Callithrix jacchus: one gene and its partners. The protein of the gene in region 2 interacts with the protein of the main gene of each other region in a pairwise test. Links are inferred from orthologs where the notes say so. Each region holds a gene or a part of one and is shown on either strand. Other genes may lie near its edges. The genes, in order: PBX3, PKNOX1, PBX2 and NUP58.

Evidence for each region.
Region 1: the proteins of PKNOX1 (region 2) and PBX3 interact in a two-hybrid assay, tested with the Homo sapiens proteins (2 studies listed by BioGRID and IntAct). The link is inferred for Callithrix jacchus from reciprocal best matches to the Homo sapiens genes PKNOX1 and PBX3.
Region 3: the proteins of PKNOX1 (region 2) and PBX2 interact in binary tests that used the Homo sapiens proteins (3 or more experiments, as listed by UniProt). The link is inferred for Callithrix jacchus from reciprocal best matches to the Homo sapiens genes PKNOX1 and PBX2.
Region 4: the proteins of PKNOX1 (region 2) and NUP58 interact in binary tests that used the Homo sapiens proteins (3 or more experiments, as listed by UniProt). The link is inferred for Callithrix jacchus from reciprocal best matches to the Homo sapiens genes PKNOX1 and NUP58.

Annotation. Positions count from the first base shown.
Region 1 is NC_133502.1:174,575,758-174,582,575, reverse strand, and holds part of PBX3 (pre-B-cell leukemia transcription factor 3), read right to left. Parts: intron 3,313-6,818; coding exon 3,147-3,312; intron 1,923-3,146; coding exon 1,810-1,922; intron 1,019-1,809; coding exon 929-1,018; intron 1-928. UniProt on the Homo sapiens protein: Transcriptional activator that binds the sequence 5'-ATCAATCAA-3'.
Region 2 is NC_133522.1:48,707,612-48,715,112, forward strand, and holds the start of PKNOX1 (homeobox protein PKNOX1), read left to right. Parts: upstream 1-3,305; 5' UTR 3,306-3,367; coding exon of another isoform or gene 3,368-3,385; intron 3,386-7,501. UniProt on the Homo sapiens protein: Activates transcription in the presence of PBX1A and HOXA1.
Region 3 is NC_133505.1:39,671,611-39,679,205, reverse strand, and holds the start of PBX2 (pre-B-cell leukemia transcription factor 2), read left to right. Parts: upstream 1-2,546; 5' UTR 2,547-2,810; coding exon 2,811-3,031; intron 3,032-3,700; exon of another isoform or gene 3,701-3,744; intron 3,745-3,919; coding exon 3,920-3,993; intron 3,994-4,205; coding exon 4,206-4,453; intron 4,454-4,553; coding exon 4,554-4,744; intron 4,745-4,926; coding exon 4,927-5,062; intron 5,063-5,303; coding exon 5,304-5,457; intron 5,458-5,811; coding exon 5,812-5,900; intron 5,901-6,019; coding exon 6,020-6,106; intron 6,107-6,237; coding exon 6,238-6,330; 3' UTR 6,331-7,595. Other genes in the region: NOTCH4 (neurogenic locus notch homolog protein 4), read left to right, coding at 225-238; GPSM3 (G-protein-signaling modulator 3), read left to right, coding at 51-269, 481-583, 823-1,022, 1,231-1,368. UniProt on the Homo sapiens protein: Transcriptional activator that binds the sequence 5'-ATCAATCAA-3'. Activates transcription of PF4 in complex with MEIS1.
Region 4 is NC_133506.1:144,537,216-144,544,698, reverse strand, and holds the start of NUP58 (nucleoporin p58/p45), read right to left. Parts: upstream 4,643-7,483; 5' UTR 4,513-4,642; coding exon 4,406-4,512; intron 1-4,405. UniProt on the Homo sapiens protein: Component of the nuclear pore complex, a complex required for the trafficking across the nuclear membrane.

The DNA of each region.
Region 1 (6,818 bases), on a different chromosome or scaffold from region 2:
TGAAAAAGGAGAAATGCAACTAAAAGGCTTTTTATATGGTTTGTTGTGGGTTATTATGAGTTATTTATAAGCCCAAAAAGAAAGATTTGACATTTCAAATGTAAAAGATTTGAGTATTTAATGGTCCTTTTTTCCCTTTACAATTGAACATCCTCAATCACTTTTTAAATCATTAATATTTACTCTCAGAGCAAGCCAAGGCCCTAAAAAGGGAGAATTTTGCCCATTTTCTTCCTGAGTCTACTACCATGAGCTGGGCAGTTAATTTCCTTCCTAAGTCTGGAAACCCAGACTCCATCCACCACGCCCCGCGGCACCACCACGATGACCTGATCTCTGCCCCTTTCCCCCACATTCCAGAGCTGTGTGTTTTGCCATTTTCCATCCATGTCAGTGTGGGGAAAGGTAAAGTTGTAGTGAAGTGATTACAAAGTTAAAATTATTTCCTCCATAATTAAAATTGTCAAATATGTTTGCATCCCACCTTGACAATACAGCAGGATGCTTTTAATAACAGAATTCTTCATTTAGCTTGGTTTGTTGGTCTACCTGGGATCCTCCGAACTTATCACCTTCACCTGAGCTCTGTTTGGGAATTTTTCCTGCTGCCTGGTTCTAAGATAAATGACACGTTTTCCACCATTTCCCTGGAACACAGCACTGAAGGTAGGAAATGGCATCTTAATGGGCTGATACTTAAGTCCCTGCTGATGTCAGGACACCAGCCACTTCTGGGCATCAGGGAGGACTTCTAACGGCATCTAGGTGGCATCAAGCATTTAGGTTCTTAGAATAAAAGTGCAGCAAAGACACTGCCTTCCCTACCTGCCAGTAAGATGAGAAGCCCGGTCAAATGGCTATTCATTTCTTTATTAGTCACTGTTTACCTGACACTGTTCTCCTACAGCTGGCTCCCCAGAGTACTCACATTTAAATTATGTGGACTGTACAGTGAATTTCCTCCAAGTCCATCACTGTAGCCTCCCGTCTGATTGATAACATGACGGAGGGTATCCACCTAGAAATGAGACAAAACAAAATTCATCATCCCAAATCTATTAAAACATCATCACTTACAAAAGGAAATCATTTGAATTATGTGTGCCATAAGGGTTTAACATCTTCAATGAAAGACAAATTTATCAATCAAATGTGACTGGCAGAATTTCAACCATTCTTTGCATATTTAAACTCACAAATCTTTGTTTTTCATGCCAGCCAAATAAGAACATCTTCCTGGCAATGCAACTTTCCATCTATGGCAACCAAATGCATGTGGCTATGGGTGAAAACCTACTTGCAACTGTGTATACAGAATTCTCTCCATGCCCCCCTCACAATTTATGTCTCATACACACTCATCTACATGTATAAAAACTATATGAGTAGTTCTGTTCTCAATTAAGAGGACAAGAAAAGAGTAGAAATTACAGAGTTATAATTTAAGAACTCAGGTTTTTGCACTCTGATGTAAAAATGCAACAGCAGTATGTTCTTAAACCATATCCATACTGGCATTCTCCATTTTTCTGTTCTATTTTATGACAAAAGTAAGATGCACCCAACCCCTCTCCATGAGCTCAAGCCAGAGCCGAATGCATTCACAAAGTTTATCAGGTTTGAATCATCACAAGTTACTGTTCACTTGACTTCTCATTAAATTAAATGGTGGGGCAGATGGGTCCTGTTTGGAAGCACCCAGCACAGGTTCTGCATGAATGTGCAGACCACTTCCGTGGGGTCAGAGGAAGGAGTTTTGAGCCCAAACCCTGCCCTGCTAGAAAGGCCCCACTGGGGCACTTCTCCTACCTGTGATTGCACATTGGCTCCGACTTGGGACCCTTGGTAAGAATCCCCATTCAGACTCTGCATGTTCATGAACATGTCCCCAGAATTTGGGAGGTTAAAAGAACCAGAAGAACCTGGAAAGGAAAGAGTTAAGTAGCTGAATAACAGAGAGCTACACACATGATCCTCAAAGACCTAGAGGCAGGGAGAAGAGGAGAGTATGGAAGGGAAAGGCTGTGCACAACATAAAGCATTTCCAGATCTAAGAGGATGGAGAACTCCAGAGAGTGAGAGTCTATGATTCACTCTACATCTAGGAGAAGTCCTATCAATGGGGAAGCCCAAATTTAAAAAACAAAAACAGAAACGAAGAGACAAATCAAAATAAATTAAGAAGAAAAAAGAAACCAAAACACCCAAGCTGACCTGGATGCTTCCCCTTTTTTCCACTGATCTCCAGGACCTAGTTTTTGCGAGCTCGTCAACATCACTAACTGTCACGGCGGACAGCCACCCAGAAAAGAGACTTTCCCAGGAGCTCTTTCTTTGCTATATGCCTCCCTCTCCTTTCACCTGTTTTCATGTGTCATTAAAAAGGACTGGGGGGTGAGGAGACAAGACAAAACAAACAAACAAAAAAACCCTACTTTCTGAACTTCTAAAGATATTATTTAGGACACCTCAGAAAAGCCCCTGGAATTTCTATCGAGTCTGTTTTGACTAGCTGCACATCTTTCATTATTGTTCAAGTTCCCTGAAATTTTAAAGTATTTCTAACCCCCTCACAAATGTCATAGAAAATGTGGCCAAAATGTACCAGATGAGGAGCCAAGAATCTTATATCCATGAATTAAGTACCATAACCCTCATTGCTAGCCACCTGCTGAGCATACTGTCAGCCCCACTTAGTGCTGCTGAAAGGCCCAGAAAGGACAGCAGCGCTGCTGCACTTCCCTCCAGCATTCCAGCTTCCTCACGCACAGCAACTGCTGCGTTCCCCACTTCTGCTATTTCACTCTCCACAGACCACTACTGACCCTAAAGTGATATCTGGAATGAGATAGCTGAAATGATCATGAGCAATAGCACTCTACCTAATTGCTGAACTGAAAGCCACTACTAAGTGTAAAAGTTCCATAATCTACTAGTGAGTGGCACTCACTGTGAAGAGTGGGTTTACAGACTCTGGCCGTCTACTCATTCACCCATATCAAGAACAAGCCTGCATTTGAACATAAATCTTCCTTTATAAGTCCACTGTGTCCTCAGTATGGCTCTTGTTTCCTGGCCTGTGGGACAGGGCATTGTGGCATAAGGCTGTGTGGGCCAACTGGGGAGTGAGCCCCCGCCGTACGCACCCGAATTTGGTGTGGTGGGCGAATTGGTCTGGTTGTTCTGCACAGCTGCTGCTACAGCGTGTGCAGCTGTCACAGCAGTCTTTGCAGCATAGAGGTTGGCTTCTTCCTGAAACTTGCCGATATTCTTCTTGTACCTGATTCGTTTGTTGCCAAACCAATTGGATACCTACAAATTGCAGAGACATGGAGGTGAAGGGAAAGAGAGGAAGTAGTCAAATTCCAGTAATACCTGTTGGACACCAAGGCGATACCTTGGGAGACACACAATTCCTAGCCTGCAACCTTGCATCCTATGGATCATGCATAATGGTTTTAGGGGTTATTTTCTCTTTTGGCAAAACTCTCACATTCCTTTGGAGTAACCCTGCTTTCTTAGAGTTTTCCACAGTAATACCAGAATGGCAGGGAGCACTGCTCATAAAAGATATCTAATTGCTATATACCAATTAGTATATAAATAGGCCCCCAAAATCAGGCAGAAAAGCTGAAGGAAATATTGTTAAGTTAGGTAAATAATAAGAAATACTTGAACATGAACGACTTAATCTTTTTTGGGTCTGGAACAATTTTGGCAGCTGTATAGTAGAATCATGTTTTGTCTGCTGAAAAGAATAACATCAATTAATAACGGATGAAAAAAACCCTTTGTCTTCTGCCTCAGAAAATACTGCATGTCTGGCAAGATGGCTGCTCAAGCTCTGCCAGTTAATATGTGGGAAGGTCACAACTTGAAAACTTAAGTAATTCCAATCAGGTCAAATGCAAACACAGAGAAGCAACTCTAATGTCATCAGGTGAAATATATTTCTTTCTTTTGCAAACTTATGATGTCAGCCGCTGCAAATGGAAGAGATTTCTACAGAGTATCTTGGCAACAGGCAGATTTCATCACATTTCAAGGAGAGCAGAAATTCAGCCCCAGAATCATGGCTCAGAGTTACAGTGTGTTCAGGTACCTGTAATTGACTCTATCAAGAAGCTAAAAGCCACATGGCAATTTATAAGAAAGTATTGCCACTCACTATATAAAAGGATCTGACCTCTCTTTTATTAAAGTAACAGTTTAAAAATACTTTTCAATAATTTCTTAATCATCTGTCAAAGGGGCATATTGCTGTGATATCAGGCTGGGTGGGGTCATTGTTCTACCCTGAAGGTATTATTCTTAACAGCTATTCAGGTGCCCTGGAGAGAAATAAGTAGTAGTATGTAGTTTGAAGGCTTCCAATCCAATTTACACTGTGGGCACCCCTTTTGACCATCTCTGCCAAGTCTTTAATTGCTCTGGAAATAGAATTCTCATTCTTGAATCTATGGCACTCATCCTTCTGGAAGAAGCAGAGAGCCCTGGCAAAGGAGCCACGTGAGGAAGACAATTCTGGCCTTGCTGCTGCCCATGTGCTATCCATCCTGGGGATCACGGGGTGCACACATGCACACATATGCACATGCAGGCATACCTGCCGAGAACCCATGCAGCAACCATGAGCATAGGTTCATCAGACAGAAACAAGCCAAAAACCCATCAGGAAGTAAATGTGCTACAGATTAGCACTTCCTAGCTGTTTCTGTTCCACCATCTTTTTTCCCCCCTAAAAGACTGCATGTATCCTTTCTTTTCTTTGTATCAAATAGAGTGGCTTTAATAACTGTTATTTGGTGAATGACCATGATGCAGAGCACCTTGCATACATTTTTTGATTTTAATGTCAACAATCTCAAGGGCTAGTGGTAGATAGGGGTAGTTATACAGGCATGACACCTGCCCCAAATCCAGTGGCCTTGTGTCTCCCACTAGTTTGACCTCTTAGCAGTGTCTGACACTTGTAATTACCACCCCTCTTTCCTGGAGCAGGCTCTTGCATGGTGTATGTGACATTATACTCCTTCTCCTCCAATATCTGCTCCTTTGCTGATACACAGTGTGTGTGTGCGTGCACACATGCACGTATGAGTGTGTGCATGTGTGCAAGTATGTATTTTCAGACACAGCTCTTGGCCCTCTTCTCTCTTTCACCTAGAGCAACCTTATCCATATTCAAAAAATTTCAGTTATCCTCTCTGGGTGGATGACTCCCAGATTTCCAACTCTATCCACATCATCTGTGAAGACAGTGAATTCTTATTTTTAAAGAGATTTACACACAAATGTTCTTCCCTCTCTTCTCATTTTTAAAGAGATTTACACATAAATGTTCTTCCTCACGTGGCTCCTTTGCCAGGGCTCTCTGCTTCTTCCAGAAGGATGAGTGCCATAGATTGAAGAATGAGAATTCTATTTCCAGAGCAAACTCCAAATCAATGGGTGTCCTCTAAGCCACCTCCTCTATATTCTCTCTGTGGTCCTGATCTCTCAATCTCCAGAGATGTGGTACTCGCTACTTCACGAAATCCCTGCCTCCACTGTTCAATAGTCCTAACAGGTATATAGTTCTCTTTATTCTGAACTACAATCTGTTTCCGTTTCCTTTCCACACATTGGTCCTACTTCCAACATCTAGACTGTCACAACATTAGGCCTTCAAGCTCAGCCCCAAGAGACCTCTCCATCCTACTATTAGCCTTTTTGGCCCTCCCTTCCTTGAGCCCCGTATGCTCACAGCTGGTGTGCATTACAACTGTGTAGGATGTAGGAACAGGAAGAAGTTAGGAGAATTTATAAGCGAGGAGGCCATGAGGGCCTGAGCCAGGCAGAGTAGTAGGATTAGAGAGGGAAGATATTATGGAGGAGAAACAGGCAGAATCTGGCCCCTGACTAGCTCTGGAGGTCACCAGAGAGGGAGAAACCAGAGATGGTGCAGATATGGCACCTAGGCCTTGAGCGGGAGGATACTTGGGAGGAATTTCTGCACCAGGACAAGTCAGCCTCGGTGACCATTAGGATCCATACCAGAATTATGTGAGTCTAAAAACAGAAAAGTTCTAAATCAAGATTAGAAAAGGATGATAAAGGTGTGGGTTCTGATTATGCTTATTAAAGCAAGTTCTCTTTGACCCTACCTCATGTTTCCCAATGCATGCTCTCAGCTCAGGAGACAGACCTAGAGCTGACTTGCAAAAAGCTCCTTTAGTACATAATATCACTCTAGTTTTTCAGAGTAAGACTGTTAGGTCTTAGAAAGAGTTAAATATTGAACATATCTATAGTGCAAAGGAGGACAGACTTGGTTGAGAGGGAATCTGGCATTTCTTAAGCATAATTAATGAAAATTCCCCAACTCTGAATTTAGCAACAAAGGCCCATCTCTTCTTCCAAACAATTCTCTGTTGGATTCAGTACTTTGTAGTTAATATTACCTTGACAATCAGAGAAGCTATAATACATTAATGAAACCTAGCTTGGAAAATCAGATTACAGCTTTATTAACAGTTTCATAATTGAGCAATCTCTGTACCATTGAAGGTCTCATCTCTAGATATGTAAGAATCCTCTGTTTATGCATACCCCTGGACCAATCAAACAACAGTCATCACTAATAAAGGTTTATTTAATTCTCACAGTAAAATTTTAATATCACCAGCAGCCTGGGGAAGCTTTAGCAAGTGGATTTGCTTGACATCAGATCGTTTTTATTCTGCTAGTCCCAATACTTCTTAATCTTTAATATCAAGGCAATTAAAATTAATGGCCACTCATCCGAAGCTACTGTGGGCACTGTTTCCTTGACATCA
Region 2 (7,501 bases):
TGAGCTACTTGGGAGGCTGAAGCAGGAGACTCACTTGAACCCAGGAGGCAGAGGCTGCAGTGATCCCTTCAGCCTGGGCGACAGGCTCTAAAAATTAAAAAAAATTAACAAAATGCTCTTCCTGGATCCTATCGGTGGGACTGGGTAAAAGAAAAAAGAATGTTGTGAAGAGAATAGACAGAATGGCTGGCTGTTTGAATTACAATGTACCTGTGCTTTTCCTTTAGAAGGCACTTTGGGCTCAGCACCGGGAGGAAGCCCCCTGTGGCCTCACCGGTGTGGGTGGAGGCAAAGGTGGACTCACAGGGAAGCAATGAGTCTCCACCCCCTCTAGATGCCCACACCTACCGAACCGTGAATCGCTTTCCCAAGGACTCCTCACAGTATGCAAGTCTCAGGGCCCAGCAAACCTGGCCCATCCCCAGAGAAGGCGATTACTGATGGTGCATCTGTCAGAGGCATTTGAACCAAAGCGACTCCATCTTGAATAGGGACTGGGTAAAATAAGACTCAGACCTTCTGGGCTGCATCCCTAGGAGGTTAAGGCATTCTCAGTCACAGAGTGAGATAGGAGGTCGGCACAAGACACAGGTCACAAAGACCTCGCATGCAGTGAAAAAGCCGGCCAAACACCAAAGCCAAGAGGGCGATGAGAGTGACCTCTGGTCGTGCTCACTGCTCATTATATGCTATTTATAATTGATTAGCATGCTAAGAGACACACCTACCAGTGACCTGGGTGACCAGGTACTCAGGTCCTCCTGGACCTCCTGCTGTCTCACAGGCTGTATGCAAAGAAATGAAAGCTTCAGATCCGGGCAGGTCTAAGTGTGGCCAGTGAGTCCAGGGCCACTTCCCGGGACCTGACCAGCACGTCACAAGGCCCCTGCCCCTGCTGAGAAGGGCCCAGGCTTGTCTTCTGCTGTCACTGCCTTGAAATTCTTCACTGTAATTTCTGAGCCAGGGACCTTGTGCTGCTGGAAAGTGGTCTCAATCCAGACCCCAAGAGAGGGTTCTTGGAATTTACACAAGAAAGAATTCAGGGAGATTCCACAGAGTACAGTGAAAGCCAGTTTATTAGAGAAGTAAATAAAAAAGAAAGGCAACTCCATAGGAAGAGCACAGCCTCAAGTACTGCTGGTTGGCTACTTTTACGGGTTTTTTTTTTTCTAGAATCCGTTCCTGAATTATATGGTTATTTCTTGATCATGTGCTAAACAAGGGGTGGATTATTCATAAATTTTCTGGGAAAGAGGTGGGGAATTCCCAGAACTTAGGATTCTTCTTCCATTTATTTATTTATTTGAGATGGAGTCTCACTATGTTGCCCAGGCTGGAGTATGGTGTGACCTCGGCTCACTGCAACCTCTGCTTCCCGGGTTCAAGGGATTCTCCTGCCTCAGCCTCCCAAGTAGCTGGGACTATAGGCATGTGCCACCACACCCAGCTAATTGTCTTGTATTTTTAGTAGAGACAGGGTTTCACTATATCAATCAAGTTGGTCTCCAACTTCTGACCTCAAGTGATCTGCCCGCCTTGGCCTCCCAAAGTGCTGGGATTACAGGTGTGAGTCACCGTGCCTGGCCCCTTTTAGACTGTGTAGTATATGGCATTTGTAAACTCTCATGGCGCTGGCAGGAGGGTGTTTTAGCAAGCTAATGTATTATAATTAGTTTATAATCATCAGTTAGGAAGGCCAGAGGTCACTTTCTCCACCATCTTGGTTTTGGTGGGATTTGGCTGGCTTCTTCACTGCGTGCTGTTTTATCAGCAGGATCCTTGTGACCTGTGTCTTGATCCAACCCCGTTTCATCCTATTACTAAGGACGCCTGAACCCACTGGGGTGCAGCCCAGCAGGTCTCAGCTTCAGCTCACCCAGCACCCATGGAGCCCCTCTGTTCCCACACCTCTGGGCACTTGCATCTGCATCTTCTACAACGCTCTGCAGACTATGCTTAGTCTTGAATACTGAGCTTTTTCTGTGCCCTTGAATTTCCCTCCTCGGCGAGCATCTCAGGGCCTCCCTCTAGCCCGCCCTGATGCCCTCCATCTTTCTGAAACAGGCGGCTCTGCGGCTGCACAGCACTTAGCCAAGACCTTCTGGCTGTGTGGAGCTCTGAAGACACAGGACAGATGTCCTCTGAGCTGCTCATGCCTACACCTACCCCTGGCTCCCTGCAGCAGTCAGCTCCTGTCCTGGGCCTGCCTGCCTTCCCGGAGGAGTGGGGGCCCACAGAGCTGCCCTTCCACCGCTGTGTGCGGACTCAGAGCCCTGACTGCACTCGGTGGGCCACTGCATAAATGAAGGCTTCTGCAGCACCGGAGGCCGGTCAGGCAAACCGTGTGCTTTCCTACGCAATGGGAATGTGTCGCATCTTCTGTACATCTTGGAGAGCAAAGCCACGATCGGGACGCGTGGGTACGTTGTGGCAGTGATCGGTTAGGGTGGTCTTTCAAAGCACAGCTTGAAATGCAGACACTGGTCGGCGTCCCCTACGGCAAGTGCCCTGTACCTGGAGGCTGCATCGGTCACCTAGACCTGCAAGGCTCACCTGGGCCAGAAGGTGTGTTCAAGTGAGGCCAAGTAGCCCAGAGGCCAGCCCGAAGCACTTGTGAACAACATGAGTCCCTGCTGGGGTCCTCACACCGAGGGGGTACAGTGCCCAGGGTAAGGCCTCAGGTGCCAGGCACTCACAGCGCTGCCGCAGATAGGGAGGAATGTGAGCATCCACTGTGCCGCTCAAGCCCGTGCCCACCCGCGCTCCGGAGCCTGGGGTGGAAGGCTGCACGGCTGCTGCAGGCTGGCACCTAAAGGGGGCGCGCACACTGTGCGGGCCTTCGGCGTTGGGACGCCCAGCTGTGGGGCCACGGATGGTACAACCCTCTCTCCCCGCCTGCTCGAGGCAGATGGTTTCTCCCGCCTTCGCACACGTCTCCCGGACCGCAAGGAGCGCGCGGAGGGGGCGTGGCGCGCGCCAAGACCACGCCCCTGCTGCATAGTCATGAGGCGGGAAGCTCTGCCTTCGGGGCGGGGTACGCAGCTCCTCGCGCTAGGGCGCGGCTGGTTGGGGCGGGGCCTGGCTCCGGGTGCGGGCGGGGCTGGAGGCGGGGCCGTCCGTCGCCCGGCCCCCGCCTTCGCTCTCCTCCCCCGGCGCATAGGCCCCGCCCCGCGGCCGCCGCCGCGCAGGGAGGGGCGGGGCTCGCCAGAGACAGGCCCCGCCCCCTCTCTGAATATTGATGCGGCGCTCGTCGGCGTCGCCCTCCTCCCATTGAGCGAGGCTGTGTCGCGTGGCCCAGCGTCGGCGTGACGGTTGGACGCGGGCGCGGCACTGCGGGTCCCGATTGCTGCAGCCGCTTGTCAGTGTGATGAAGATTGGCACCCAGGTAAGCTGTCACTCAACCGCTCCGCCGCCGCCGCCGCCGCTCTCGCCGCCGCCGTCCCTATCAATCACACCGGCCCGCGGCCGCCGCCCGCCGCCGCCGCTGCCGCCCGGGTCTGGAGGGCCGGCGCTGCCCCGGAGGGCCCGCACTTGACCCGCCGCCCGGGGCAGGGGGCGGGGAGGGGGCGCGGGTGGGGGAGGGGATCGGGCACCCGCGGGGGAGGGGGCGCCGTCCGCACAGCCGGCGCGGGGGCGCGCCCAGTTGGTTTCTCAGTGTGGGTTGAGGGACGCGGAAATTTCTGGAAGGCGCCGCCGCCGCCGGCTGGGCCCGCTCGAAGCGCGCGCTCCTAACCGTCCCTTTCGGAGCGCGGCGCGCGCCCCTGCGCGGGGCGGGGGCGGGGCGGGGCGGGGGCGCGCGGAGCCGGCCGGGGGCGGGGGCGGGGGCGGGGCGGCGGGCTTGAGGGCCGGGGGCGCGCGGGGCCGGGGGCGCGCGGCGGGGGCGGGGCGGGGCGGGCGACGCGCGTGGGGCCGGGCGGGTCCTCGGCCTCTCCGGGGTCCTCCGGGCCGGCGGGGCTGCGCGGAGGGTGCGGGGCGCGCGGCAGCGCAGGCAGGAAGATGGCGGCCGCGACCCCGGCCCCTGCCTTGGTCGTGGCGAGCGCGCGGTCTCCGGGGCCGTGGTCGCGGTGGGACTCGGGATCGGCCCAGGGCCGCGCGCTGTCCGCAGTGTTGGGAAGCGGCCCCGGCGTCCCGGGAACGGGTGGGAAATGGACGACAGGAAGAGCGGGGCAGGGTCTGGCGCCCGGGGGCTTGCGCCGGCCTCGCCGGGGAAGAGCTGGAAATGCCGACACTTGTCAGCGAGTCGCTCACGGAAAAGAAACCGGAGTCCGCTTTGTGTGTCATGCGCGCGGCCCGCGAGATGCCTTATTTGGACAGTGGCTCTGCCACCGGGCCGGTTAGGGCCTCCGTTCCCATGGCGGATTCGTGACGCCAGGCCCGAGGGTCCGGGAATGGCGGCCCCCGGAGGTCTGGCCCGGGGCGGCCGGGCTGAGCGCGACGCGGGCTGCGCCCTCCCCGGGTGCCCCGCCTGTGTGGGGTCCGCAGCTCCTTGGGTGGGGAGTTTGCTTGTCGAGACGGGGCAGTTTTCCCTTAGGAAGCGCGTGCTTTCCTCGGGATGGGAGAACCCCCAGCCTTAGGTTGCTTTGAGGTTTTTCCCGGCACTCTGAAAACGGGCTTTTCTAGACATGAGAATCCAGGTGAAACGCGAACCCCTGCCAGTGCGGTGATGGGCGGTGCTCATGCATTTGGTCATAGATGGATCTGGAAGGTGGCAGGCTGGCTGGAACGAGCCTTCACTCGGTGGCATTTACTTGGCATAGCGGCTGCTGAATCCTCTCTGTACACAGGCGTGCCTCGGGTAATCTGAGTTCTAGTCCAGACCACCCCAGTAACTATTGCAGGAAAGCAAGTGACACAACACAGTTTTAGGTTTTTCAGTGCATAGAAAAGTTGTAATTACGCTAAAGTGCGCAGTAGCAAGCATTATATCTATAAAAGTGTGGTTCCCTTAATTAACAAATATTTTTGTGTTAATGCTAAAGATCATCTGAGCCTTAGGTGAGTCCTGCTCTTTTTGTACGTGGACAATCCTGCCTCTGTGGATGGCTGCTGACTGATGAGCGCGGTGGCGGCCCTGTCCCTTACTTAAAATAAGGCTGCAGTGAAGTTTGCTGCATTGATGGGCTCTTCCTTTCATGAAAGACTTCTTTGTAGCATGTGATGCTGTTTTGATAGCATTTTAACCACAGTGGAAATTCAAAGTTGGAGGCTCTTCTCTCACACTCTGCCACTGCTGTCCACTAAGCTGATGTGATGTTCTAAGTCATATCTGCCGTGTTCACAGCGTCTTCACCAGGAATAGACTCCATCTCAAGAAGCCACTTTCTTTGCGTGCCCATGAGAAGCAAGTCTTTATTGTTTCCACCACGTCTGCAGTTCCTTCCTCCACCGAAGTCTTGAACTCCTCAAAGTCATCATGAGGGTTAGACTCAACTTCTTCCAAATTCGTTACTGTTGATATTTGACCTCCTTCCATGAATCATGAATGGCATCTAGAATGGTGACTCCTTTCCAGAAGGTTTTCAGTTTACGTTGCCCAGATTCATCAGAGGAATCGCTACCACAGCTATAGCCTTACAAAATGTATTTCTTAAATAATTAAGACCTGAAAATCAAGATTACTTCTTGGATCCATAGCTGCAGAATGGACACGAAGACAGCATTCATCTCCTTGTGCATTGTCAGAGCTCGTGAGTGGCCAGGTGCACTGTCAGTGAGCAGTACTGTGTTAAAAGAAATCTTTTTCTGAGCGGTGGACCCCACAGTGGGCTTACAATGTTCAGTAATGTGCTATTCCATTTCCAGGGTATAGGCAGAAGTAGTGATCTTAGCCAGACTTACTGGACAACCTGGTGTAGCTTTTCTTTCTGTTGGCACTTGCTGTTTTACCTTGTTCTTTTGTGTTAATGGGACAGCTTCTTTCCGTAAACCTCATGAACCAGCCTCTCCTCTGCTGCTTCCAACTTTTCTTCCTCATTTTTCTCATCTCTCTCAGCCTTTATAGAATTGAAAATTTGGGCCTGGTTCTGGATGAGGCTTCAGTTTAAGGGAGTGTTGTGGCTGGTTTGATCTGTCCAGACCACTCATACTTTCCCCGTATCACCAGTAAGGCTGTTTCACTTTCTTTCCCTCCCTCCCTTTCTTCTGAGACTGTTTGTGGCCCAGGTTGGAGTACAGTGGTATGATCATGGCTCACTGCAACTTCTGTCTCCTGGGTGCAGGTGATTCCCCTGCCTCAACCTCCTGAGCAGCTGGGATAGCAGGTTTGCAGCACTGTGCCCGGGTACTTTTTTTTTTTATTAGTAGTAGAGATGGAGTTTCATTGTGTTGGCCAGGCTGGTCTTGAACTCCTGACCTCAAGTAATCTGCCTGCCTCAGCATCCCAAAGTGTTGGGATTGCAGCTGTGAGGCACCGGGCCTGGCCATTTTCTTATTTGTGTGTTCACTGGGGTAGCACTTTTAATTTCCTTTAAGAACTTAAAGGAGCTTTGTTTTGAGATGAGTCTTGCTCTCTTTCCCACATTGGAGTGCAGTGGTGTGATCTCAGCACAGCTCACTGCATCCTCCCAGTTCAAGTGATTCTCCTGCCTCAGCTTCCCAAGTAGTTGGGACTACAGGCATAAGCCACCATGCCGTGAGGTCTCACTGTGTTGCTTAGGCTGTCTCTGAAGTTCCTTTCCAGAATGGTGATTCCTTTCAAGTGGCCCTCCTGCCTCAGCCTTCCAAAGTGTTGGGACCACAGGTGTGAGCTGCTGTTCCCGGCCTGACTAACTTTTTGATGCAAGAGGCCGAGCTTTTGGCCTTTCTTGGCTTTTGACATGACTTTCTAACCAAGCTGAATACATTCTGCCTTGTGATTTTAAGTGGGAGATGGTGTTTCTCTTCCTTTCACCTGAACACTTAGAGGCCATTGTAAGGTTATTAATTGGCCTAATTTCAATATTGTGGTGTCTCCCGGAGTAGGGAGGTCCAAGGAGAGGGAGAGCTGGGCAGCAGAGCTGGGCAGCAGAGCAGTTGGAATACAGCATTTATCCGTGAAGTTCGCTGTCTAATACAGGTTTGTGACACACCAGTAAGATACAGTGGGAACATCGGGATCACTGATCACAGATCCCCGGAACAGACATGATAATGACAAAGTTTGAAATACTGACGAATGACCAAAATGTAACAGATGCAAAGTGAGCTCTTGGTGTTGGAAAACTGACACCAGTAGGCTTGTTTTCTCCATACAGTGTCTGCTGAGTGCAGTGAAGCAACGTGCAGTCACATAAGCTGCTCACGGTCTGTGGTGTCTGAAGCGCACCATGCGGTGCCCTGCACAGAGGCTCCCGATGCCTGCTGACATGGTGTGTTTCTGCCACCTCAGTGAAGGATGCTTTCCACTTCAGACATTGAAAAGTGTGCCTTAGGTGGGGCGCAGTGGCTTAAGTGTATAATCCCAGCACTTTGGGAGGGTGAAGATTAGCTGGCTGTGATTGGAGGCGGGTAATCCCAGCGACTC
Region 3 (7,595 bases), on a different chromosome or scaffold from region 2:
ACTGAACAAGCTGTTTGGGTGGGAAAAGAGAATGGAGGAAGTTGACAGGGATGGGCGGGGCCCGTGGGGGGCTGACCAGGAACCCAGCTTCCTGCTCAGTACCCAGGCATCCATCCCCCAGCTCACCCCCACCCCTTCGAGCCCCCACTCCCTTCAGGAATTCAAGGTTCCAGCCCTCCTCCCACATCCCAGCCACCCCTCCCCCACCAGTTTCTCCCCTCCAGGGAATGGAGGCTGAGAGACCACAGGAAGAAGAGGATGGTGAGCAGGTGAGCTGGGCACAGGGTGGGGAAGGCTGACACTGGGAAAGAAGGGAGGTGAGAGGACCTGGGGCAGATATGTAGGGGTCTTGAAAGGCTTGGGCAAACTGAGGCAGGAACAGAGACACACAGAGGAAACGGGCCACTGGCCTAGCCCCCTGTCCACTCCACCTGCTTCAACCACCACTGCTTGACTGGAATGGACATATTTTGGCATCAGGACCCCCCTCAGGATGAGCAAGGCTGGCCCCCTCCAAATTCCACCACTCGGCCGTGGCGATCTGCTCCTCCATCCCCTCCTCCTCCACGGACCCATAACACAGGTACCCCCACCTGCCCAGAGAGAGCCCCGACCCTGGTGCCCACATCCTGACCCCATTACCAAGGTCCACTCCGTTGTGGGCCCTCTCCCCACCTCCTCCGGACTTCCCCTGGGATCCCCCATTGCACCCCCTCTCCTCTGATCCAAAGTCCCTAATCATGTCACCCTATGCACACTCCCCCATGGCTCCTGTCTGCCAACCTCTCTGGGTCTCTGAGCCCTCCACCCGCCTCTCCCCAGCCCTGGGACCCCGCTCGGCCTCCCTGCTCTCCCTGCAGACTGAGCTCCTTCTGGACCTGGTAGCTGAAGCCCAGTCCCGCCGCCTAGAGGAGCAGAGGGCCACCTTTCACACCCCCCAAAACCCCCCAGTCCTAGCCCCTGCCCCACCCCGTCCTCTTGAGGACAGAGAACAGCTCTACAGCACCATCCTCAGTCACCAGGTAAGACATCCCCCCAGGAGGCAAACCCAGGCCTCCCGGCCTCTTGGCCCCTGTTGTCTTTTGGGCTCTACTCCTGTTTCTCCCTAGACACCTGCCACATCACCTTCACAGGAAATTTCCTATATGCCTCCCTATACCAACCCGGATTCCCAAGGGTCCTCCCCTCAGACCCTCACCAAAGCTCTCCCTTCTCCCTCCACTCCTCCAGTGCCAGCGGATGGAAGCCCAGCGGTCAGAGCCTCCCCTCCCTCCAGGGGGGCAGGAGCTCCTGGAGTTGCTGCTGAGAGTTCAGGGTGGGGGTCGAATGGAGGAGCAAAGGTCCCAGCCCCCGACACACACCTGCTGAGACTTGAGTCCCAGCCAGCCCTTCCTCACCCCTGGGCTCAAAGCTGGGCAGACCATTGCATGCCCTCAACTCTTACGTGGCAGGGGTACCAGAGACTGAAAGACCCAGCATTCATTGCCCACATTACCTTCCCTGGGCACTTGACTGGGTGAAAGTCCTCAAACTCTAGGAACAGGCAAGGTGGAATGGTCATTTAACTCCCTCCCCAAGTCTTTGGGAGCTTGAGACAGGAAGGCGGATCCCAGGCACCCATCTCAAGGAGTGGCTGGGAGTCTTCCCTGACTTGTGGGGACACCACCTATTTGTCAAGCTACTAGGCAGGGTCTGAGGGCTCAGGCCTCCACCTGAGAGGTTATAACCCGAGAGACAGCTCCACCCTCCCCCCTAGTAAGAATGGAAGGTAGATGGGCACCTGAGAGATGAAGCCTAAGACTATTCTCCCAGTCCCACCACCAGCATTCCCCATCCCTGAGACTGAGGGGTTTACAGGCTGTGAATGCACCTTTAGCCCTGCCCACCCTCCCTCCCCACTGCTGCTCTGAGTCTGTTTGATGTTTTGATTGCGTGAATAAATGTAATTCCCCTCTGGACTGAAGACTGGTGTCTGGGGGGCCCGGGCAGGGTGAAGGGTAGAAAGGTGAGGCCAGAGGCCGCCTCTCTCCCCAGTCTGGCCAGAGGCCAGCTCCCCTCCCTGGCTGGTTAATTACTGGCTCATTAAGCAGCGGCTGGAGACCTCCCTAATTATCTCCCCCAGCCCCCCTCTCCTGGTTTTAATTAAGTAGAACAGGGAGGGGAATCATTAGAACAAGAAATCTGTACTGAGCTGTCCGTGAACGCAGGGATTCCAGCGGCCTGAGTCCACATCACCTAGATCCCTGATTCAGAATCCAGGTGGCAGACCCCACCCCAGCCGCTACCACACCCCCACTCCCAGGCCGCGAAGTCCAGCCAGGGGGCCTTCCCATATTTTTCACATGGCCCGTCTCCTCCCCTCGTCCCCTCTTCCCTCTCCCCTCCTCCACTCGGTCTCAGTTCCTCTGTTTCTGTGTCTCTCTCTCCGCCCCCAGCTCCTCCCTGTTCCTCCTCTCTTCTCCCCTCCTCTTCCTCCCCGGCTCCCCTCCCCCAGCCTCCCTCCCTCGCTCCCCCCGCTTCTCCCTCCTCCCTCCTCCCTCTCTCTCACACACACCCCCGCTTGGGCCTCCTCTCTCTCTCTCCGGCTCCATTTTCTCCGCCGCCGGGGGCCGGGGTCTCCTGTGGGGGGCCCAGCCGGTACCCCAGGTCTCCCTTCAGTGCCGGGGTGAACCCCCGGGGGAGCCGGGAGCCGGGGGCAGACGAGCGGGGGTTGGGGCGGAGGGAGCAGCGGCCCCAGCGAGTTTGGGGGGGAGTAACCAGGCGGGGGTTGGGACAGAGCAGGGAGGGGGCCTCAAGGCCCCCCCCCAGCTATGGACGAGAGGCTACTGGGGCCACCCCCTCCAGGTGGGGGCCGGGGGGGCCTGGGATTGGTGGGTGGGGAGCCTGGGGGCCCTGGCGAGCCTCCCGGTGGCGGAGACCCCGGTGGGGGTAGCGGGGGGGTCCCGGGAGGCCGAGGGAAGCAAGACATCGGGGACATTCTGCAGCAGATAATGACCATCACCGACCAGAGCCTGGACGAGGCCCAGGCCAAGTGAGTGCCCCCACCCCGGGACCCCACACAGACCCAGCAAACCCCGTTCACATGCTCTGAATCTTCTGGGAGCCCCCCAACTCCAGGGCCCTCTTCAGGATCCAACAGCTCTCTTCTCTCTTTACTCCTGGGAGCCCCTAGAAAAGTGATCCCTCTCAAACCTCCCTTCACCCCCAGGCCCTGAAACCTTCACAGAAGGAACCCCAGGTGGCCCCGCTCCCCCTCCTAACCTTTTGCTGACCCCCACACTCCCCTGGAACAGTCCCATCTCCGGAGCCCCCTCTGGCTCCCAGACTAAGAAACTGTTCTTGGGCTATGTTATCTTCTCCCCTAACTCTCCACCCAGCTCCCTCGTTCTCTCCAGATGTAGAGACCCCCACACCCCTCTCCAGAGCCCCTAAAGCCCCTCTCTACGGCTCAGCCAGACACTAGGTGTATCAAAGCCCCACACCTGCTCAGCCCCAGGACCCCTTCACACACAGGATCTCCCCAGTCAGCTCGGCAGCCCCAACCCCACTCTGCCACCTCAAACTCTGACTCTTCTCAACCCCAGCCTCTGTCTCTCTACCTCTGAAACGTACCAGGTCACCTTCCTTTCCCCATTCACTCCCACATTTCTCCACATACCTTTCTAACCGTCTCCCAAAGCCCCCGGCCTACCAGTGGTACCTTTAGCCTGCTGCTGCATCTTCCCTGTGCCTCTGAAGCGGAGCAGCTTCCCCGGCTCTGGGAGCTGATCTTTTCCCAAGAACTCCCCTCCCCAAAGCCATTCCACCCCCAATCCGCTTCCTCCGAAGATTGACCCTCCTCCCTGCTTGTTCTCAGGCCCCCTGCTCTGTTTCTCTGGCTCCTCAACTTTTCTCTTTCCCCACTCCCACTCCTCCCAAGGAAACACGCCCTAAACTGCCACCGAATGAAGCCTGCTCTCTTTAGCGTCCTGTGTGAAATCAAGGAGAAAACCGGTATGTGGGTCCCCCGATTGCTCAACTCTGGGGACAGAACCCTGTTCACTATAGGGCTAGAGTGTGACAACTTGGGGCCCTGAGGAAAGTGAGGAGTCAGGGGGACTGGGAAGGAGCCAAAGCCTGGGAACTTGGCTCTCCAGGAGGCACCAGGAGGACTAAGCACTGGGTGTGGGGTCCCTGGGTTCCTAAGTCCACTGCCTGCATGCTAGGCCTCAGCATTCGAAGCTCCCAGGAGGAGGAGCCGGTGGACCCACAGCTGATGCGCTTGGACAACATGCTTCTGGCAGAGGGTGTGGCTGGGCCAGAGAAAGGGGGTGGCTCAGCAGCAGCAGCTGCGGCCGCTGCAGCCTCTGGGGGTGGTGTGTCCCCTGACAACTCCATCGAACACTCAGACTATCGCAGCAAACTTGCCCAAATCCGTCACATATACCACTCGGAGCTGGAGAAGTATGAGCAGGTGAGGAGAGCATGCTAGGGTGGGTGGAGGGAAGGGCTCTTGCAGGGGAATCCCATGCCCACGGGGTGCCTCCTCACCAGCCCATGGGCCCCCACTACAGGCATGTAATGAGTTCACAACCCATGTCATGAACCTGCTGAGGGAGCAGAGCCGCACCAGGCCCGTGGCCCCTAAAGAGATGGAACGCATGGTGAGCATCATCCATCGAAAGTTCAGCGCCATCCAGATGCAGCTCAAGCAGAGCACCTGCGAGGCTGTCATGATCCTGCGTTCCCGTTTCCTGGATGCCAGGTGAGCGCAGGGACCCAGGCTGGCCCCCAGCACTGGTCTCCTTCCCATTCCTCTCCAAGACCCTGAGCTGCCATGTTGCACAACATGGTACTCCATGACAGTGGTGACTCTGGGGTCATGCCATACAGCAGCACTGCCAGGACACCAACGTCCTCCTCACAGCTCTTCTCCCTCCTCTGTAGACGAAAGCGCCGTAACTTCAGCAAACAGGCCACTGAGGTCCTAAATGAGTATTTCTACTCACACCTGAGTAACCCATATCCCAGTGAGGAGGCCAAGGAGGAGCTTGCCAAGAAGTGTGGCATCACTGTCTCTCAGGTATTATGGGGGCTTGGGGAGGAGTTTTCAGGCAAAATGCACTCATCTCAGCCAGATGCAGTGGTGTGTTCCTATAATCAAAGCTACTAGGGAGGCTGAAGTGGGAGGATCACTTGAGTTGGAGACCAGCCTGGGCAACAACATAGACCAGGAAGAAAAAAAAATGCTCTCACTCACATCTTACTCAGTGAAGGACTTGAGAGGCAAAGGTTTCTACCTGACCCTCCTTTCTGCCCCACAGGTCTCCAACTGGTTTGGCAACAAGAGGATTCGATATAAGAAAAACATCGGAAAGTTCCAAGAGGAAGCAAACATCTATGCTGTCAAGACCGCCGTGTCAGTTACTCAGGGGGGCCACAGCCGTACCAGCTCCCCAACACCCCCTTCCTCTGCAGGTGGATCCCACTGTTACCCTGGCTGACTGTTGTGCACATTTCCTGTGTTTGTTCCCACTTCCTGTCTAGGCAAGATGATAGCAGAGAGGGGGCCTTTTGGGTGAGAGGGACCAAGCTGAGACAGGCTGGAGATGTCAAGGGGCAAAGGCCACTCTGTGAAGTTAGTTCTGCTTTTCTTCCCACGGGTGGCCAAGGAACAGCCTGCTCTTTCTGTGTGTTGGAATGTTGCTTTGTGGATAATTGGAGTATAGTAGCATGTCCCCACAGAGGGCTTTCTGGTAACTGAGAGTTGTGGGTCATCCCCTTTCTACCATCACCAGCTCTATTACACTCTTCCCTCTTTGTTCCCCCAAGGCTCTGGCGGCTCTTTCAATCTCTCAGGATCTGGAGACATGTTTCTGGGGATGCCTGGGCTCAACGGAGATTCCTATTCTGCTTCCCAGGTCAGACGCCCATCTCCTCTTGAGTAGGGCTTTCTCCGGTTCCATTTTCCCTACTTTTGGATACAAGACCTCTATCTGAGGCGTCTCTTCACTGTCATACCTTTCTCTGCTCCCTGCAGGTGGAATCACTTCGACATTCAATGGGGCCAGGGGGCTATGGGGATAACCTCGGGGGAGGCCAGATGTACAGCCCTCGGGAAATGAGGGTGAGTGGATCCTGAAGCACCTCTCTGTCCAGTACTCGCAGGACAGAGGGGCATTTTCCCTAGTGGTATGTCCATACAGGGTTCCCCAAGGCCTTGTCTGTTTTCTATACTCTGTCTCTACCTTCTTCCAGGCAAATGGCAGCTGGCAGGAGGCTGTGACCCCCTCTTCAGTGACATCTGCAACAGAGGGACCAGGGAGTGTTCACTCTGACACCTCCAACTGATCTTGATCTTGCCCCTCAGGGTCACATGGGTGGGGGCGCTCACAAGGCGACTCTTGAAGAGGACGCAGGCATCCAGAGGACAAACCCCAAATACAGAACAAGCACAAGACAGAGGAGGGCCAGTGGGGTCGTGCCCTCCCTAACTAGACTCTGTGCTGGGGGTGCTAATTACATGGCAGGAAGAATGGGACCCCTAAGGGGAGTGTGGGCTCTGTCTCCCCCTTTTTTCCATCTTTTACCTCTCCCCCTTTCTATATTACACAGAAACACACACATACCCAGAAACCTATTTCTCAGACCCCTTTTTCTCTTTCCCTCTCCCTCCCCCACACCTCAGCCACACACATACTGGCACTTGGCAACTATTCTGTTTCTCTCTGGGCTCCCCCACTTTCCCTTCCCCACCCCACTTATATGCTATGGAATCCGTGGAGATGCCAGCCCTGCCCAATCAGAGATGCCAAAAATGGGGACATGACTTCTGGACAGAGGACATGGGCCACGCCCCCGCGTATCCCCACCCCCACCCCTCCAGACGGCTTACTTACCTCATACGCAGCTCATCTTAAACCAATAGAATCGCTCGGTGGACGAGAGTGTCTGACTCAGATATCTACCTCGGAGGGAGTTTCTGCTACTTTAGAGAATTATTGACTGGGCTTTGGGGTTGAACTTTTTTTTTTAAAGAAAGAAAAAAGAAACCCTGGGATCCATCTGTTTTTCTGTTGTTGCTGTTTTTTGTTGTTGTTGATGGTGGTGGTGGTTCTTAATTTTTAATTTAGTTTGGGGAAGTAGTTTTTTTTTATATAAATATGTTGATTTCTTGTCTTTTTTTATATCTTGCTTTCCCATATTAGGGGTGATAGCCAAAGGGGTCCTGGTAAGAGAAAGGGGGACAAACAGAACTGGTCAAGAGGCCCCCTGGCTCCAGGCCTGTCCATCAGGAAGTAAATTTTACAGGGCACCAAGGTTTGCCCCCTAAAATCACTTAGGTGTCTTTTACTCACACAGGCAGGTTTCTGCCACATTTGGTGTGGAGGCAGTGAAGGACTTGCCTGCTGGCCTCCCATCCCCCTTCTTCCCACAACCCTTGGGCAGGGCTGGACTCAATATTTTGAGGAAATTGAAGATACAGTCTTCCCCTGTGAGTGACATGTCTTTAATTTTTTTAAAAAAACGACTATTTGAAGATTGGAAGGGGAAGAATGGGACGGGAGTTATTGCCAAATATGTTAAATATGGGTTGGGGTGCTTGTGTATGTGTC
Region 4 (7,483 bases), on a different chromosome or scaffold from region 2:
AATTTCATAATCAGCCCGAAAAGCCACTCAGGTTTTTGCAAACACTGGGGGACAAGGGAGAAGGAAATATTCAAGCAGTAGAAATGTACACCTTCAGTAAGTTTATAATTACTATTAGGCAGATTATAATCAAGTACCAAATGATAGCAAAGAGATACTGCAGAAGTTTGAGGCAGAGCTAATCACTGAGATAAGAATGGAGACAGAGGAGCTTATTAAGGGATAGAACTTGAGATGGGCCATCCATACTGAGTAGGTAAAAGGAGAGGAAGTACTTAGTTTACCACTGATCTTTAAAATATGTTTGTGTGCACCAGAGAATTCGAAGTCGAGGCAGAAGGTAGAGCAGGGCTGCAAGATCTCACCAACAATTAAAACAGATCTTGGCCAAGCTGAGTGGTTCATGCCTGTAATCCCAGCACTTTGGGAGGCTGAGGTGGGCAGACTGCTTGAGCCCAGGAGCTTGAGACCAGCCTGGGCAACATGATGAAACTGTCTCTATGGAAAAAAACTAGAAAATACCCCGAAAAACAAAAATTAGCCAGGCGTGCTGCTACATGCCTGTAATCTCAGCTACTCAGGAAGCTGAGATGTAAGGATCACTTTAGCCCACAAGGTGGAGGTTGTAGTGAGCTGAGATTGCGCCACAGCATTCCAGCCTGGGAGACAAAGAGAGGTCCTGTCTTAAAAAAAAAAACCAAAAAACAAAAAAACCCACAGATCTTTAAACATTTACTCTGAAATTATAAGGTATTTTTAAGAACATATTGCTACATTCAAAACTAAGTGAGATATCACACATACAAAAACCTAAGTGAGCACTACAAGCAAAAGAATACAGTATGTAATGGCTATATCCAGACAACATAGGTAGGACAACCATAAAAGAGGCATATATGCCAAAAACATTTAGCTTAGCTGGTGGTAGTCTGATTGCATTGTTATTTTGAAACTGTTCTGTGTACAATGTGGAATAGAATAAATGGCTATCTGGGGGATATTAAAACACTATTGGCAAATTTTGAAGACATATAATTAGGAAAATGGTTATTAAGCTTTCCTTATTCCCAAACAAATCAGTGATCTCATTTTTTTAAAATTGCTATTTTGGAAATATACAAAAGATGAAAAGTAAACATTTGTATTTTTACACCATGAATTAAAATCTAAAATTTCTTGACAACAGGCAGGGCATGGTGGCTGAGGTGGGGGGTCACCTGAGGTCGGGAGTTCCAGACCAGCCTGGCCAACATGGTAAAACTCCTGTCTCTACTAAACTTACACACCCCAAAAAAATTAGCTGGGTGTGGTGGCGTGCCTATAATCCCAGCTATTCGGGAGGCTAAGGTAGGAGAATCACTTGAACCCAGGAGGCAGAGGTTGCAGTGAGCACCACTGCACTCCAGGCAGGCTAGGTAACAAGAGTGAGACTGTCTCAAAAAAAAAACAATAATAATTGTATACATGTATAATTTCTTGACAACATAACTTGAAGATATTATGAAGTAATAATGGAAGTTGAAAATAACTTCATAACTTGAATATATTATGAAAAAATAATGGAAGTTGAAAATACTGCCAAAGAAACATATCAAAATGAAATCTTATTCTACCACAGAAGCAAAAGAGAAATTTACTAAATTCAAGAAAAACAAAAGCTACCCTAGACTTGACCAATTACCTCCTCAAACCAGTGTTATCTGCCAGGGACTTTATAGGATGTGCTGTAGAAAAGCCAGCTTGACTCCATCACATCAGGAATGTTATTTTAACTTGCCCAGCTGGCCCTAATGCAGACTTCATAGCTAACATAATAGCTAACATTTATTGAGCACTTAGCAAGTGCCAGACTTGATATTAAGTATTTAAATGCTTCATCTCACTCAGCAACTCAGGAAATATATTACACTCCTTTTCCAGATGTGAGAACTCCTCTAAAATGACTGACCTCAAGAGATCTAATCATCAGGTGGCACTGGGGGCTGTCAGGCCTCCCAACCAGCACTCTTAACAAATTTACGTCAGACTGTCTCCTCTTTAATTTATCCAAGCCTCTCCAAAGCTTGGGTCATTTTCTTCTAGCTTATTACTAGTAACTCATTTGCTCAGTCATTCAAATTGTTATTAAAGCCCCTTTTCTATGCCAGGCACTGTTCTTGGGACTGAGGATGAGGTGGTAAATAAGACTCTGACCCTGCCTGCAGGCAGCTTCTAGTCAGTGAGAGACATAGATATTAATTATTCTTGTGCTGGGATCTAACAAGTTAACATTAAATATAAAGAACTGATTACAATTGTGATTAGCACTGTAAGAGTACTAATGAGAATGGAAACCTCCCCTAGACTGACAGGTCAGTAAAGGCCTCTCTGGGGAAGAAATCATTTGACAGTCGCAAAAGATAAGTAGGCATAAGAACTAGGCATATGGCGTAGAAGGAAGGGGTTGGCAAAGCCCACTTGAGGAAAAGAGAAAATGCCATGTTGCTAGGGCAAGGTTTCTCATACTAAGATCAGGACCATGAGAGAAGTATAAAAATTAATTCATCAAGTTCTAAGAAACATTAAAAAAAAAAAAAAAAAAAGAAAGAGAATAGAAAATATCAAAGTGCATCCAATGAAGTAAGGTAAGTGTCCCCCTCTGAAACTTTGTTTCAGTTATTTATTTGTCTGCAGGTACTGGTGTACTGGGTAGTAATATAGTTGTCTGTTTTTAAGAGTGAGTCTGGATAACTGAAATAAAAAGACCGGCTCCAGATGAGTCCCCAGAGGTTCCAGCAGAAGTGTACTTTGCAGACTATGGTAAGTTTGTTGTTGTTGTTGTTGTTGTTTTAACTTCATTCTAAGGATAGTGGGAAGTGATTACAGGGGGAGCAATTTGTCTTTTAATTATTCTGGCTACAATGTGGCAAAATGGATTGAAGACGTTGATAGGAGTAGCTGTCATCTAACACAAGACAGCTGGTTAAACATCTGAAAAGAATCAGAAGTATTTTCATAAGAATGTAAGGATCAAGAGAGCAAGACTCTCATGTTACTACGTAAAACTGAGCCTTGCACATGAGAATCTGTCCAATAAATATTTGTTCCAAGAATGACAATAGCTGAGCAGGGTGATGGAACTGGAAATAAAGACAAATGGAAATGGCAGAAGTAAAAAATTATTAGGATTTGATGTTGAGCGAGTAGAGTAAGAATAACGGAGGAATGGATGAAAACTCTCAAATGTCTGACTTGACTGTGTAGTCTGTGATTCCTCCTCTTTTTTTTTTTGAGACGGAGTTTCGTTCTCGTTGCCCAGGCTGGAGTGAAATGGTGCAATCTCCGCTCGACGCAGCGTCCGCCTCCCAGGTTCAAGCGATTCTCCTGCCTCAGCCTCCCCGCCCCATGTTGGTCAAGCTGGTCTCAACTCCTGACCTCAGGTGATCCGCTAACCTTGGCCTCCCAAAATACTGGGATTCCAGGCGTGAGCCACCTGAGCCACCCGGGGCAGCCTCCTCCCTCTTTAAACTGCAGGTCACGCTGAGGTTTTTGCCTTTTAAATCTACAGCCACATCTTTTAAGCTTCAGGAGATATTTTGTTGACAGTGTGCACACTTAACTTTATGAACCCCCCCACCTTTATCTTGAAAAAAATTGAGTTTTAAAGCTTAAATCTCTCATTAAAATGATGTCTCACCATTTTGTCTCTTTCTGGACAGTTACATTTTTGTCGCCACCTCAACAAATGGGTTGCACAAAAACGAGAAACATGCTACCTACATTTTGTAATTTAAGTGAAAGACAATGTTGAGTTATTAGGATACAACATTCTTTAGTCCAATATACTAAACTGCACATATTGCACAAAATCACCAATAAACACTGTAAAAAGGTGTTTTTGGTTTTTGTAAATGATAACAGATAAGGTCCCACGTGGCACAAAAGCTTGAAAGGCTGGTTATAAATAACTGCAAAGTTATTAAAACACCGTAATATCCAAAACCGCAAATGCTGCAATGAAATCGGAATTATCTATTACAAAACCCCACAATATGCTACAATTTCATTCATTCATTCAATGTTCATTCCATGCTTAAGACTGATGCCTCGCTAAAGCTCCGGGGTAGAGCCCCGGGCCTCTCCACCCAGCCAAGACCCCTCTAGGTCCAAACGATGCCTGAACTTTACATGGATTCCGGAAACCTCACAGCACAGAACCCATCCCGCCCTCTACCTCACCAGGCCGCGCTGGGCCCTGGCACCGCGGCGAGCGAGAGGCCTACGACGCCGGCGGCTAGATAAGTGTTACTCTCCAGCCCCACCGGGAAGGAAGCCAGCGGGAAGAGAGAGGATGGGGACGCCAGGAAGCTTCGAGGGGTCGGGGGAAAGGGAGATCCGGCCCAGGAAGGCGAGAAAGTGCGGTTACCTAGACGCTCCCGTCCCAAAAGAGAAACCGCCGCCTGTGCCGGTCCCGCCGGGGGCCACGGTAGTGGAGCCCAAAGTCCCGGACCCGAAGGAGAACCCCGTGGACATGTCTGCTCGGAGCTCGACGCCGTCAGCAAGATGAAAGGGGTCTGGGACACTTCTCTCGTCTCAAAGCCGAGGCGGGCCGGGCTGCATCTCTCTCGCCCGGCACCGACCTGGCGGGAACTTCAGCCCCAATGGTTGCGAAGGCGAGGCTGAGTGGGTGGAGCAACCACGCAAAAGCAGGGCGACGCTCGCCGCGTTCCCGTAGCCCGCCGGAAGTGAGCCCGCCGCGCAGGGAGTCCTGGGACAAAGGTAGGCGTAGGCGAGCTGCGCAAGGCACCCCGGGACCCGGCGGGATCGGCGCACAGCCTAATCTCTTAAAGGAGCAGGCTCTCAGAGTTTAAAAACAGACCATTTCTGTCATTTTTAGTTCTTCTATCTGACTGACATAATCTGCACTATAGGGTGTACTGACATAATCTGCACTATAGGGTGTACTGACATAATCTGCACTTTAGGGTGATGAGCGTCATTACTGCTTCTATTAGCCTTCTGCCAAAAATGATGCTCAAAATCACAGAATTGGGGAGGTCCCTCGAGAGCATCTCCAAGTTCCCCACACAGAAAAGAAGACGGCTTAGGGCTTTCGTTGGCTGCCGCCCCATCCCTGAGAAGGAAGAGGAGCGTGTCTGCTTCCTGAAAGTTCGGAAATCAATGGATAGTAATCCCTGCATCCGTCCCACGAAGTGAGCCCCACCCCTGCGCCGCAAGCCACTCGGACCCAGATGGACGCGGGTCAGGCGAGCCCGACGCGCAGCCCCGAAGGGGACCCAGAAGAGCGTCCCAGGTGTCCGTGGGGCGTCCGGCTGTGGTCCTGGCGCCCAGAAGTGACCAGGTCCCCTGGATCTCCTGGCCTGCGGTTAAGTCCACAAATACTGTCCGCGCATCCTGATGAGGGAGAGCGGGACCTGGGGCCGAGCGCGTGTGGCGCCCGCAGGAGGACGATGCGCGGCTCTAGGGCGCTCGGATACACGCTATGCTGGAGGAACTGCAAAGTGGAAGGTTTGGGAAACGCACAAAGATGTGCGATAGAAGGCGAAATGTAAGGGGTAACTTACATTTCTAGGCTATCTCGAGGAAAATTCTCGTTTAAAGAGAGACCCTCCAGCGAAGCATCCAGAAAGACTTCCTGGTGGTGGTACATTCAAGGATTGTCATCATAGTGTTAGTTTTTATATTTCCCTCAGGGATTGTTACATTACTGTCCCAAATGGTTGTCCTACTCGTGATCTCTAACAAAATCCATTCCATAAGCAACCCCCGGATTTATTTTCCTAAAACAATACCCACCACAACCCTGCCTTGATCTAAAAAGCCGAGTGGCTCTTTAGTCTGGCAGTTGATGTCGTCCATAAGATCAGTCTTTCTAATCTCGTCTCACAGCTCTCCTTAATTCAGTACTTTTCCTTGCGTTGAGCTTGGGCATTGCCATCAGCTTCGTACTGAACATATATCCCTCCTCCCCCAATCCGTCTGTTAAAGCCCTACCCCACCCCAATATGTTTGTATTTGGAGATGGAGCCTTTGGGAGGTAATTCAGTTTAGATAAGGTCACCCGGGTGGGTCTCCCATGGCAAGATTAGTGCCCTTATGAAAAAAAACAACAACAAAGAGCTTGTTCTTCTCTCTGTGCCATGTGAGGACAGAGCTAGAAGGGGCCTTCACCTGGAACCCAAACTGCCCCATCTTTATCTGGGACTTAGCCTCCGGAATTGTGAGAAGTAAATGTCTGTTTTTATAGCTACCTCAGTCTATGGTGTTTTATCAGCTAAGCAGACTAATATACCACCTCTGTATTTGTATAATTTAAAAAAATAAATATGTAACATTTTATTTTATTACTGTTTTAAATTTAATTTAACTTAATTTATAGTTGATTTTATTTTGTTCGCTCTGTTGCCCAGGCTGGAATACAGTGGTGCGATCTTGGCTCACTGCAACCTCCATCTCCTGAGTTCAAGTGATTCTCCTGCCTCAGCCTCACAAGTAGTTGGGATCACAGGCACACACCACCACACCCAGTTAATTTCTGTATTTTTAGTAGAGATGGGGGTTTCACCATGTTGGCCAGGCTGGTCTCGAACTCTTGGCCTCAAGCAATCTGCCCACCTTGGCCTCCCAAAGTGCTGGGATTACAGGTGTGAGCCACCACACCTGGCCATAACATTCTAAATGTCATGTAGGTCATAATGGGAATGATAAAAAAGAAAACAGGGATATATTTGGACTAAGATATAAATAAAAACTTCATAGTTATTGAACAGGAGGCAAAAATAAAAGATTGTTGTGAGTTTTAAAACTTCAGTGTTACAGAGAATGCCATTTTCAGTGATGGCTATAGGGTGGCCAGTATGAGGATTGTTTACATAAAATCTAGGGGCTTCCTTTTGACTGAAAAAACAAAAGATCCACATGATTTTTATGGGAAGATAGAAAGATGCTCCCTAGGTCTTTTGATTTTCTCATATATTCTTTCCAAAACTTTTGAAGAATACCAACCTACAAATTAGTAATAGCAAAATGGCTGGCACTTAAATATATGCAATTGAACAAGACTTGTAATATTCACAGGAAGGAAATAGCATGTAAAAATACAGTAGGGACTAATATAAGATGTTTAGAATGGGGGAACTGGGTGTGAGGAATATGAGAACTCTCTCTTTGTAATAATTCTGTAAATCCATATCTTTTAAAGCTAAACATTTATAAAAGAAAGTAAGTCCGACTTAGGTTAAAGTTTGGGTTTGGGGGGAAGCCATTCCAATTAACAAGCAAACTATTCTTTCAACTTTTTTAATCAAAATTTTAGTGTAGCATTTCTTGCCCTGTATCTGGCAGAATAGCTTAAGTTATGCTATAGTAACAAATCCCCAAATCACTCAAGGAGGAGCACTGCAGAGACAAAACTGGAATGTCTGATGAGTACTATCGCAATCTACCACTAGGTGCACCAAGTATAAGACTAGACCTCAGAACC